Oryctolagus cuniculus: one gene and its partners. The protein of the gene in region 1 purifies or fractionates together with the protein of each later gene. This does not show direct contact. Links are inferred from orthologs where the notes say so. Each region holds a gene or a part of one and is shown in the gene's direction. Other genes may lie near its edges.

Region 1 (4,065 bases):
CAGCTCAAAAGTAGGTGCGCACAGACCCAATCACCCAGGTGGCCTGCAGCCGGAACTCCAGCTCCCAATCGTGACCCTAAACTGTCACAGTCTTCACCCACCCACCCCCAGCTCCTCTCCCCGGTGCCCGAGGGGCCTGGGACCAGCTGACCCCAGGGCGGTCGCCCTCGGGACTCAGGATGACAAGCACCCATACGCCAGCGAGCGCGGGCGGCGAGCAGGCTGGGTGCCAGGCGCTCCACGCACCCTCTCATTAACCCTGGCGGGGCCGCCGGCGTCCCCGCGCCGCACGGAGCAGCAAGCCCGGTGCCAGGGACGCAGGGGCTCGGCCGGGGGGGGCGACAGCTGGGGAGGGGGCGACAGCTGGAGGCGGCTGGAGCCGGCCCGCCTTGGGGCGGGGGTCGGCGGCCACGAGACCCAGTCCTGCCCACGCCACGCCGTCACCGCCGACGGAGCCGCGCCCGCCTCAGTTTCCCCACCCGCGCGCCAGGCGCCGGACGTCGCCCGGACCCCTGACTCCCGCCTGATTCCGTCGCCGCAATCCGCCTGACCGCGCTGGGGGCTGCCAGGACCCAAGCCTTGGAAGCAATTTTGAAAATCCTCGAAGTGTCCCAGGGAGCCCCGGAGGCCGGCCCGGGCCTGGGCGGGGGGCGTGCACAGGGGGCTGGAGCACCGCTCCCCGCGAGGCGGCCTCCGCCCCCCGCCGCCTCCTTTGTCCCGACCTCTCCGCAGCGCAGCGGACAAAGAGCCCCCGCCGCGGGCGCGGCCCCCGGAACAGACAGACCCTCCCTCCCGCCAGCCGCGCCCCGGCCCGGGCCGCCCCTCCCTCGCCGCGAAGACCACCTCCCACCCAGGCCCGGGGCACCGCCGCCCCGCGCGCCCGCGCGCGCGCCCCCACCCCGTCCGGGGCCGCCCCTTCCCCTCCCTCAAGCCCCCGCCTGGCGCACCGCCCAGCCCGCCCGGCCCCGCTCACCATGGCGCAGCCCGCAGCCCCGGCCCGGTCGCCCCGCAGCAGCCCCGCGGGCCCGGCTCCGCCCGCCAGCCCGCCAGCCCGGTCCGGCCGCCGCGCACCGTCGGGACGCAGGAACCCCGCTCTGCGGCGGGCGGGGCGCCTCAGGCTCCGCCCCGGACGGGGGCGGGGACCTCCGGCGTGGCCAATAGGCGCCTGCGCTGGGACGGCGGGGCGGGCCGGGCCGGGGCGGAGTCACGTGCGCTCGGGGCCGGGGCCGGGGCGGCCGGCGTGGGCGGGGGCTCCGCGCAGCTGGCGGGACGGCGGGCGGGGCGGGGGGCGCTGGTGGGTTGGGGCCGCGCCGTCAGCGCCGTGCCTCCGCCAGCCTCACCCCAGCCCCACGGGCTGTCCTCTTCCCGCGCGCTTACCGACGGGGAAACTGAGGCGCCCGGCAGGTAAGAGCTTGGGACTGGAGCCAGCTGGTCGTTTACTCATTCGTAAGGTTTATCGAACCTCGGCCACATGCCTGCTGCCCCGGAGGCCTCAGCGCAGCGGGAGCCAGAGAGTTCCACCCCCTTGACAGTGTGTCATCCTGCTTATTTTGACCGTAATAGCAGGCGCCCTGCCCACCAGATGCCCAGCCCTGTCCTACCAGTGAGTACGCTTAGCTCAAGACAGACCCCCACGGAGCTAGCCCACCTTACCGCTGCGAGGTGCGGAGGGATCCCAGGGTTTGGTTCCAGGCCTGCGCCCCCGGCTGGGAGAGGCCCCAGTTAGTGTGGGCATAGCAGCTGGTCGCTGCAAGTGGGCGCTCGCCGTGGCCAGTGAGGCCCGTTCGAGGGGTGGGTGCTGCAAGGCCGGTGAGCCCAGAGGGGCTGGTGGACCTGGGGCTCCTGGGAGCTGGACGGCTTGTCCGCCGGTAGCTTCTTTGCCTGTCTCTGGCAGAAGCTTGCAGGCCAGGGCGTCGGGCATCCCTGGCTCCCTCCTGCACGGCCTGGGCTCTCCTCCCGCGCCGTCAGAGCACCAGGCTGTTCCTGCCCCAGTGCCTTTGCCATGCCACTTGCTCCTGCCCGTGCCACTTCTCCACTTCATTGATCTCAGCTTGAATGGCCCTTCCTTGGCAGGGGCTTTCCTAACCCCCCCCCCCCGCCCCACCTCCCCATCTCTCCTGCCCCTTGTGAAATTAAACATTTGGGGGGCAGAGCAAGGGAGGGCCTTGGGAGTTGGGGGTGGTGATGAGCTTTTCCCTGGGTTGGGTCTGCTCCATTCTCTGTCTTTTCTGCAGAGGAGCGCCAGGCACACAGGCTGGCTGCCCTGTGCTCTGGCTGTCCGTCACACCTGGGAGTCCAGAGTGGCAGGAAACAGGTTCTTCCCACAAAGCCAGTTCCAGCGGCCTTTGCGGTCCCAGCCTCCAGCCAGCAGAGCATCATTAGTGGTAAGAGCTGGGCAGGGCAGGCTTGGAACCCCAGAGCCAGAGCTGGCGTCGCGATGCCAGGCAGGCAGGGACACTTGGGGGAACAGATTCTCGGGGGAAAGTGGTAATGGAAGTTGGCAGACTGCCAGGGTTCGAGTCCAGCCGTTTATGCTGTGTGGCTTTGGAAAAGCAGCCTGACCTCTCTGTGCTGTTTTCTCTGGTGTGAGCACATCGAGTGCTTGGCACAGAGGACGGCCTCCTGGCCACTCGCTGGTGCCGTCAGTGCTAGGGTTGAACGGGTTGGGCCGTGAACTTGAACTTCCCCGGCACGTTGCTGCACCCCCAGAGCCTTGGGTGCCTCGTCTTCAGGGTGGGTCTCATGAAACCCACCTCGGGGGTGGGCTGAGGATGGGGGACCTGCAGCAGCCCTCTGAGCCCCTCTTGTCTAGAATGTTCCAGTAATGCTAAGTTACTGTGAATTGTACCGGTGGCATTTGCTGGGAACTGGACAGACATTTCACACCCATTCTACGGAAGAGGAGCCGAGGCACCCCAGGGTGCGTGTGCACCCGGGGAGGGTGCCGTAGAGCAGACCCTGGCTGTGGTCTGCAGGTCTCACGAGCACCCCAGGCGGGGCCAGGGCGGGGCAGTGTTCCCCACACTTAACACAGCGAGGGCCCGAGTCGTTTGCTGAAGGCCACAGAACAGCAGTGCCCAGCCCGGGGTTGGAGCCCCTCCAGTGTCCTGCCTGCCCCGGCCCCGGCCCCGCTGTCATCCCTGGCTGGGAGGAGGCAGGAAGTGTAAGTCCCTTCCCCCAGAGCAGTTTCCTCCCGGTGCCTCCGGGTGACATCTGGCCCAGGGTCCCCAGGGTCCTCCCTGTGGGCCGGGCTGCAGGTTCCCAGCTGCTCATTAGCCAAGACGATAATTAAGGGCGGGGGATGAGCTCACCCCTGCTCCCTCGGGCCTGCCGGGGCCCAGTCGGCCCTGCCCTGTGCCAGCCTGGCCCTGTGCCCACTCCCCCCCCTCCCAGTGCTGGAGGGGCTTGTGGGGGGAGGGGGGTGAAGCAGACGCAGGCAGCCTTAGGGGAGCCCCCTGCAGCCCAGCCACAGCCCCCAGGCATCTGCTCCAGGGATTTCCAGGCCTAAAAGCAAAAGGAACCCTGGGGCCAGAGAGGAACCCCCTGAAGGGCGAGGAGCACGCGCTGAGCAGGGGCCGGTGGGAGGCCCCGCCCTGCTCTTTCCAGGGGGTAGCCCCTCCCACCTCGCTCCCAGCTAACGTGGCTGTCACGGCTCCCCAGGCTGGCTCAGCCCTCCTGGCTCCAGGACTGCGCTGTGGAGCCAGAGTGTCCCGGCGTTGTATTTGGCGCGCTTGTGCGTCGGTTTTCTCCTGTTCATGGCAAGTGTTGCCTTTTTTTTTTTTTTTAAAGATTTATTTATTTATTTGAAAGAGTTACAGAGAGAGAGAGAGAGGTCTTCCATCCACTGGTTCACTCCCCAAATGGCCGCAACAGCCGGAGCTGCACCGATCCAAAGCCAGGAGCCAGGAGTTTCTTCCGGGTCTCCCACGCAGGTGCAGGGACCCAAGGCCTTGGGCCATCTTCCACTGCTTTCTCAGGCCACAGCAGAGAGCCGGATGGGAAGTGGAGCAGCAGGGACTCAAACCGGCGCCCATATAGGATGCCGGCATTTCAGGCCAGGGCTTT
Region 2 (4,266 bases), on another chromosome or scaffold:
GAGATTGTCCCATTATGACACATTTTCACCTATGCACAATTGTCCATCATCAGCAAGCATCATAATACCATCATTTGTTAATCCTTCTTAATAGACAGGAGTGTTATTATTTCTAGTTTTGGTTTTTTGATATTTTGTGAGTTTTGTTTGTTTGTTTTTGCTATTAGTTGATAAACATACCTGCTGTGTCTCCTCATGTACTTGACCAAATGTATCAGTCGAGATACTATGGATTACCCCTCCAAAGCATTCTTTTAAAGTTCTGCCTCTGTTAGACAAATCATTCAATTCTTCTAAAAGCAAATAACAGCATTTTCCTTGCTTATCTGAAAAGTGTATTATGATGATATAGTGACTGTGAAAGCACTTGGAAAATTCATCATGATACAGTTGTCAAGTGTTGCCTAACATTCATGGACGTATGCATTTAAAGCTCTCAGATGCCACATTTTTTGTGTTCACTAAGTATGCTATTTGCATCTATTGTATTAAATGCTCTGCTATGCATTAGAAATAGAATTTTCTTAAGGATCTCACTTTACCAGCCAAAGGGAGCCAGAGATCATTAAAATTGGAAGGTGTGTGTCAGTCTAGTTTTCTGTTTCCAGTCCTAGCCGGTAATTGAAATAGAGATCACCTGAGACTTTGTAGCAACTATAGCCTCTATGCCACTGTCTTTATTCTATGGCGTTTCCAGCCAAATTAAGGACATATCATTTTCCTTGCAAATTCTCTTTGGAAATGTATAGTGAGGAGCACAGATACAATTTTAAACAGAGACAATTTCTAGTCATCTGGAAAACATTTGCAATATAAGCGATATTTGCTTTCAAGAAAGAGTAGGCTGATGTATTCCTGTTTTTTTTTTTTTTTTTTTTTTTCCAGCCCGTTTTAAGGCGTGAGGATTATAGTCAGTTGGTAGTGGCGATAGTGGTGGTTCTGTTCATAGAGATGGGACATTTCAGAAAGGTGTGCCTTTAAATAAAACTGCCCGCCAGTACACAAGTTAGTGACAGGCAGGCTGCAGATTCAGATAAGTAAAGATTAATGTTTCAGACTGGAGTCGGAAATCTAAAGGGCAGCAGAGGAAGCTGGAGACCCAGGCAGGGTTTTCTGTGTTGAGTCGAGAGGCAGTATTGCTTATTTCTTGGGAGAGCTCTGACTTTGTTCTGAAGCTCTTCACTGATTGGATGAGGCAATCTGCTTGCTGTAACTTCCTCTGATTGCAATGTGGATCACATCTAAAAAGACCCTCACAGCAGCATCTGGGCACCATAGCTTAGCCAGGTTGACACATAGCATTCACCATCACAGTGGGTTTTGGCCTTCATAGTTCTGCTCAATCATTAGGCTTACCCAGAGCTTAACCATACCACATTATTTTTTGGCAAACAGTCAACAACCAAATAGCTAAGACTCTTGGGTCAGAAGTTTGAATTCTTTTTTTTTTTTTTAAGATTTATTTGTTTATTTGAAAGAGTTACACGGAACGAGAATGAGAGGCAGAGAGAGAGAGAAAAGTCTTCCATCCGCTGGTTCATTCCCCAGTTGGCTGCAATGGCTGGAGCTGTGCCAATCAGGAGCCAGGAGCTTCTTCTGGGTCTCTCACACAGGTTCAGGGGCCAAGGACTTGGGCCATCCTCTACTGCTTTCCCAGGACATAGCAAAGAGCTGGATGGGAAGAGGAGGAGCTGGGACTCAAACCAGTACCCATATGGGATGCCAGCCCTGCAGGCAGCAGCTTTACCCTCTATACCACGGCACCGGCCCCAGGAGCTTGAATTCTAAGATAGTCTCCATTTCACTAGCCAGTCTTTTGGCATCTCCTGGATAAGTGGCTACTTTGACTGCAGATCCCTGTAAGAATGGTACAGACCCTGTGCCACTCCAGATCTGAGACAGCCTAACAAATTCTTCAACCTCTCTGCAATTTAAACTCTTACTTGGAGGACTTGAAAGTACCTGTGATGCTCTTAACCTTACTTTTTCTTGGCAGAAGCCCTCCTCTCAGTCAGTTTTGCAAGCATCATTCTTTTTTGTCCCGGTGCAGAGATTTTGAATATTTCTTTGGACATAGCACAGCTAGATTAACCCTCAAAATGTATGTGTGTGTGTGTGTGTCCATCTGTGTGTGTGTATATGTATATATTTCTGAAAGAAAGTGTTGGGCAGTCAGAGTGGCCACGGTGACATCATGCATGCAAGCATACTTCTAGCCTTCTGTCTGGTGTGAGTAGGCACTTGCTTTGGGGCCCCACACAAGCTCAGGAGGATCAGGAGAAATGTATAGTTATGGTATGGTACTCTGTTATGGCATTGCACTCTGGAAACTTAAAACCTACTTAAGGGACACGAAGCTGATGCTTGTAAGAACGGCTTGCCATGCACCCGGACAGATACCTGGAATTCATTACTTTATATTAATAATCAGAAGATCTCATTAACTGGAAGTTTTAGGCCACAGGCATGAGCATTTGTATCTCATTGATCAGCCTAGGTGGAAGTGATTCATTCTATAAGGTATTAGACCCCTAACTTAGTCCAAGAAGAAATGCTGAAGTCATTTGAAGGCAAAATAAAATATCAGGGCTCTTTGATCTGATAAGGGCCAGCGCTGCAGCTCAATAGGCTAATCCTCCGTCTGCGGCGCTGGCACCCCAAGTTCTAGTCCTGGTCGGGGCGCCGGATTCTGTCCCGGTTGCTTCTCTTCCAGTCCAGCCCTCTGCTATGGCCCGGGAGTGCAGTGGAGGATGGCCCAAATGCTTGGGCCCTGCACCCGCATGGGAGACCAGGAGAAACACCAGGAGAAACATCCGAAGGCTCCTGCCTTCGGATCAGCGCCATGCGCTGGCCGCGGCGGCCATTGGAGGGTGAACCAACAGCAAAAGGAAGACCTTTCTTTCTGTCTCTCTCTCTCACTGTCCGCTCTGCCTGTCAAAAATAAAAAAAAAAAAAATAAAAAAAGAATATTTTATAAAATAAAAGCGATAAGGAAATATTTACCGAAATCTGTAAAATTCATAAAGGAGGTAGGTCATGTAAAACCTAAATAAGGTAATAATTGTATAACTAAGTTCACAAACTGTTATCTGCACTTTAAAACACAGTAGTATCTCATTCCGGTTAGATGTAATTTGATAAATTCCCAGATTTCTATTTTGTGATCTTAATTGATTAAAAATACCATGTAGAAAGTTTTGATTGAAAACAGGTCTAGCTTAAGCAGTTTTCTTTTTTTAAACAAAGTGTGAGTATATGTTTTACATATTTGCTTTTACTTAGGAAAAAAAAACTGACTTAGAAAAATACAACTTGGGTGTAGTAGCATGTGGTGTAAACAGCTGAACTATTTTGCTTTTTACTTTCCTATGAATGAGCCAGTATATATTTATTACTGGAGTTCCAGCTATAAAATTCAGGTAAGGGGTTTAAATATACCCTAGAGTATTATTTAAAAATAAATTTGTTTCTTTCAAATAGAATACCAAGCTTGGTCTGTGACATTTGGGAGAGAAATTAAAATATTAAACTTTTATTGCCTAATAAACTTAAAATAAAGGTTAAATAAATACAAAGTAGAAAAAATATATGTACAAAATCACAACCTCTAAAAGAAACAGACAGTCCACTGTTCTCTACTGTGGGAGTTTTATCAGCGCCAGCAATTCCACCTGTAGGGCAGTGCCAGTCCTCAGAAATGTAAACAAATATGTACTTTGTTTATATAAAGAAATAAGTAGCATGGCTTGTATTTCTTTATAGATATCACACTGCTAAATGGATTGTTTCAAGGCACCAGTAGGGGCCAGCAAAGAGCTCTTAAGAGTTTTTCAGAACAGAATTGGCATTGAGATATGTTTATTTGATGTGTTAAATCCTTTTTAGACTTCTTTACTTACCACAGCACTCTTGTAAGTGAATGGATTGCAGAGACAGTAGAATAAAATATCCTATGTGCTCAGAATATATTGGGGTATAGTTCTTCTGCCTAATCTGCATATATTTTGAAAGGAATGTTTGCTTAGGCTGTTTCTTGGCAGAGTTTTAATAGTCAAAATACGAACGGCATCATTTAAAGACTGTACCACTTGGCTCGAAAAGAGCTTAAAATTTCAGCAGAAAATGCTTGGTGACAGCTTCTCAAACTTTTTTTTTTTCTCAGACCTATGCTCCATTCTTACAATAGCATTACCAGACTGGTTTCAGAATGTAATCCTTAAGCTTTCGCTTTTTATAACTGGTATTTGGAAGCTGAAGTACTTATCT
Region 3 (3,594 bases), on another chromosome or scaffold:
GGGGCTCCCCCGCCCCGTCGCCTCCATAAGTGATTGGCACATCCGTGCTTATCCCACCATGGCTCCAGCCAGACTACGTGTTGCTGCCGCCCCCTCAGGCAGACGTGTCTCAGTAGATGTTTCTGTGGCTTCTGCACCCTATGTCGCTCCACTCTGGCTGAGACTCGAGAGCCGGGCTTCCTTTAAGGAGACAGCCTATCAGTGGGCTGCATACGCAGCTTCAGGTTGCCAGGAGACGCCCTGAGCTGGGGCACGCGGGTGTCCTGGGTGCTGGTCAGGACTCTGTGCCACTGCGTGAGTGTCCCAGAGGAGCCTCTGCGGGTTAGGTGTCCGTGTGCCCTGCAGGCTGTGGCGTAGGGCACCCGAGCTGACGGCGTGGCAGCCGGCGGGAGGAGGAAGCCTGCAGAGCATCCCTGTAAGCACTGGACGCTCCCCGTGGTTGGCAGGAAGCGTAGCAGCTGGGACGGATCTTGGTGTCTCGTTCTCTCTTCCTGCGGTCCCCTTAGCCGTGACCTTTGTGTTGAAGGCCATAGGGTGTGAGAAGCAAGCCCTGTAAGAGTTTGGACCCCATGGCCATATGGGGTTCATCTCACTGGAGACTTGAAGTGACCAGAAACATCTTGCTGTTTTGTTGAGGTGTTTTCTGTACAAACGAAACAAACTCAACCTTGTGTAGGAAAACGTAGATTATCTGAGTATGCGTTGCTTTGTGAAACTAATCAGAAAACCAATGCCAGTTATTAAACAATGATGATTTCTTGCACAAACAGCCGTCAGTGGCCTATGTACACACCACGCCGGGCCTTCCTTCAGGCTGGGAAGAAAGGAAAGATGCTAAGGGACGCACATACTATGTCAATCATAACAATCGAACCACAACTTGGACTCGGCCCATCATGCAGGTATGAAGAGCGCCAGCCAGCTTCGAGTCACAGGCTGCGGACGCCTCCCTCCCGTCCCTGGTGTTAACATCCTGTTCTCCAGGACCCCTGTGCGAAAAAATATATATATACATTTAAACAAAAAACAAATACGTGACTTAGTGTTTGCCCGAGGAAGAATCTGGTCCTTACGCCAAGTCGGTCCCAGGGTGCGTTTTTCAAATCCGAGCCCGTTGCCACGTGCACCTGCCCTTCGGCCCCCTGGGTTACTTGGAGGCTGGTTTTTACGCTGGGCCAGTGCCCCATCCTTGTTCCCCCTGTGTTTCCTGTCCTTACCCCACCCACCCCCTTATTCTCTTGAATGGATTCCTCCATGCTGTACACAGACCTGGCCTCTTACTACTGCCGTGGGCTCACGCTGCCCACCACAGCCTCGGGGAGGGCCTGGAGCGAAGCTAACTTGTTTTTGCCTCCAAACCAGCTTGCAGAAGACGGCGCCGCCTCCGGATCGGCCACAAACAGTAGCAACCACCTAATCGAGCCTCAGATCCGCCGGCCTCGTAGCCTCAGCTCGCCAACAGTAACTTTATCTGCCCCGCTGGAGGTGAGAAGGCGCCCTCATCCACCTGGGCTCGCTCTGTCCTGTGCCCGCTCACTCTCCTCTCTCGCAACTCTGACCTGAGTCTCGCGGCCACCGTGCTCTCATCCGTGTGTTGGTGGTGGTGGTGCAGGCGCAGGGTGTGCTGGGACAGCCTCACGTGCTTCTCTGTCTCGCCCAGTCAGCGTCCTGGACTCCTTTGCCTCTCATTCTCATTGGGCTGAGACCGTGGGAACTGGTGCTGGGTGTGGGAATCCTCTCTGTTCAGAACTTTGGCCATTCCTGCTGTGTTTCGCTCCTGACTGCCTGTTCTACGTCATTAGACTCGCATAGCAGCTCTCTTCGGTGACAGTGCTCATACTGAGTCTCCAAACATAGCTTTGGTCATTTTTTTTTTTTCCTTTCAACTGCAAGGTCTCTCATTGTATGGGTTCTGTGTGTTTCCAAAGCCTCTTTGCATCTCCAATCATGGCTGGGCACCCGCTTGTGTTTCCTCTCTCCTGTCCGTGCTGTGGTAATACCATCCTGTGATACCACAAATGTCAGAGAGTGGGAGAAGCCACAAGTAAATGTTGGAGCTGTGGACTTGACCTTGTCTCGGAGCTAGCTGGATGCTTCTCCATTCTCAGTGTCGAGACACCGTTGGGTGGGAACAGGTGATCCCTCCCCTGCATTCTCGGAGAAACGTCACGGGCCACAGCTCTGCAGTCGTAGGTGGTCGCCGCCATCGCCTTAGGGACTTCTTTTTTCACGTTTCGCAGGCTGCCAATCTGTTCTTCATTAGACTGTGAGCTCATTAAGAGCAGGGGCACGTTCCTCTCAGCTCCGTAAAACCTCCATGCGTAGTGCTTAACGTAGGGCAGGGTTTGTGGTGTGGATCTGGTGGCCACCGAGGGAAGCTGGTGAGAAGCGCTGAACGCTGTGTGCCGAGCCAGCAGAGAGACCTGAGGTCAGACTGGCTTAAAGAAGATGAGACACAGGTGTTTTAGCAGCCTCCCCCTTTGTCCGACTCCAGAGAGGAGCGTTCGGCCATCACCAGGTGCAGGGCCACGCGACACAGAGTTCTAACACTCCTTGTTATTCCTTAGGGTGCCAAGGACTCCCCCGTGCGTCGGGCTGTGAAAGACACCCTTTCCAACCCACAGTCCCCACAGCCGTCCCCCTACAACTCCCCCAAACCTCAGCACAGAGTCACCCAGAGCTTCCTGCCGCCCGGCTGGGAGATGAGGATCGCGCCCAACGGCCGGCCCTTCTTCATTGACCACAACACAAAGACGACGACGTGGGTAAGGCTGCTGCTGTCACCTGGCTCCGTGTTCCCGGCCGGGTCCGCCAGTAACCCCTGGGCCTCCTCGCGGAGGAATCGCCTTGACTGAGAAGTGCGACCCCCACCAGTGGGGAGGCCCAGCTGCCATGGGCTGTGGGCGTGGGTGGGTGTGGGCCCAGGCCCACGGGCATCTTTGGGGTGCTGTTTGTCATGGCGCTCCCAGAGAGCTGCAGTGCTGACGGTTCACCCTGGCCGAGGAAGCAAAGGAGCACTCGGTGTTGCCGGGATCCTCGTGCCATTGCACTCTTACCGGGACTTGTGTCTTTCTTGAAATGTGTCTCCTTCCTCGGCTTCTTCTCGTGTGTCCATGGACGTGACTCCCTTCCGTTTGGTTTGTCACCGTCTGTGTTCTCTTTCCACTGACCGTGGCTCAGGACTGTGGCTGTGGGTTGGAGAGCTCTTTGCTGTGAGCGCTTTGTCAGAACTGACTTTGCCTACACCCTGCTCTTTTCCTGGGCCCCCACTTCATGTGTGAGGAGCAGCCTGCGTGTTGTCCTAACTCAGGCGAAATGAGTCACAGGTGCACACGCGTGTGCTCGTACTGCCTCTCTGCAGCCGAAGCAGCAGTGGCATTGCCAGGTAGCAGCAAGCTCCTCCAGAGTCAGTGGTCGCCACACCCTCCCTGGCCCCATGGTTGCACTGAAGTTGCTTCTGTTGCTCGCTGGTTCTGGTGTTACAGACCGTGTGCTTTTCCTCCCCGTGCTGGGTTGTCTGGGTAGAGTTAACTCAGGATGTAGCCTAGTCCTCCTGTCCCTGTGCTGCTTGCTTGAGAGCCCGTTGGGTTTGGA

Evidence for each region.
Region 2: the proteins of LITAF (region 1) and NEDD4 purify together in Homo sapiens (co-immunoprecipitation; 4 studies listed by BioGRID and IntAct, counting the BioPlex papers as one, with this or other methods). This does not show direct contact. The link is inferred for Oryctolagus cuniculus from reciprocal best matches to the Homo sapiens genes LITAF and NEDD4.
Region 3: the proteins of LITAF (region 1) and NEDD4L purify together in Homo sapiens (affinity purification with western blotting; 3 studies listed by BioGRID and IntAct, counting the BioPlex papers as one, with this or other methods). This does not show direct contact. The link is inferred for Oryctolagus cuniculus from reciprocal best matches to the Homo sapiens genes LITAF and NEDD4L.

Annotation. Positions count from the first base shown.
Region 1 is NC_091450.1:25,062,098-25,066,162, forward strand, and holds the start of LITAF (lipopolysaccharide-induced tumor necrosis factor-alpha factor), read left to right. Parts: upstream 1-1,251; 5' UTR 1,252-1,404; intron 1,405-2,234; 5' UTR 2,235-2,384; intron 2,385-4,065.
Region 2 is NC_091443.1:78,618,012-78,622,277, reverse strand, and holds the start of NEDD4 (E3 ubiquitin-protein ligase NEDD4), read left to right. Parts: upstream 1-1,446; 5' UTR 1,447-4,266. UniProt on the Homo sapiens protein: E3 ubiquitin-protein ligase which accepts ubiquitin from an E2 ubiquitin-conjugating enzyme in the form of a thioester and then directly transfers the ubiquitin to targeted substrates. Specifically ubiquitinates 'Lys-63' in target proteins.
Region 3 is NC_091441.1:20,023,533-20,027,126, reverse strand, and holds part of NEDD4L (E3 ubiquitin-protein ligase NEDD4-like), read left to right. Parts: intron 1-770; coding exon 771-902; intron 903-1,362; coding exon 1,363-1,485; intron 1,486-2,567; coding exon 2,568-2,765; intron 2,766-3,594. UniProt on the Homo sapiens protein: E3 ubiquitin-protein ligase that mediates the polyubiquitination of lysine and cysteine residues on target proteins and is thereby implicated in the regulation of various signaling pathways including autophagy, innate immunity or DNA repair.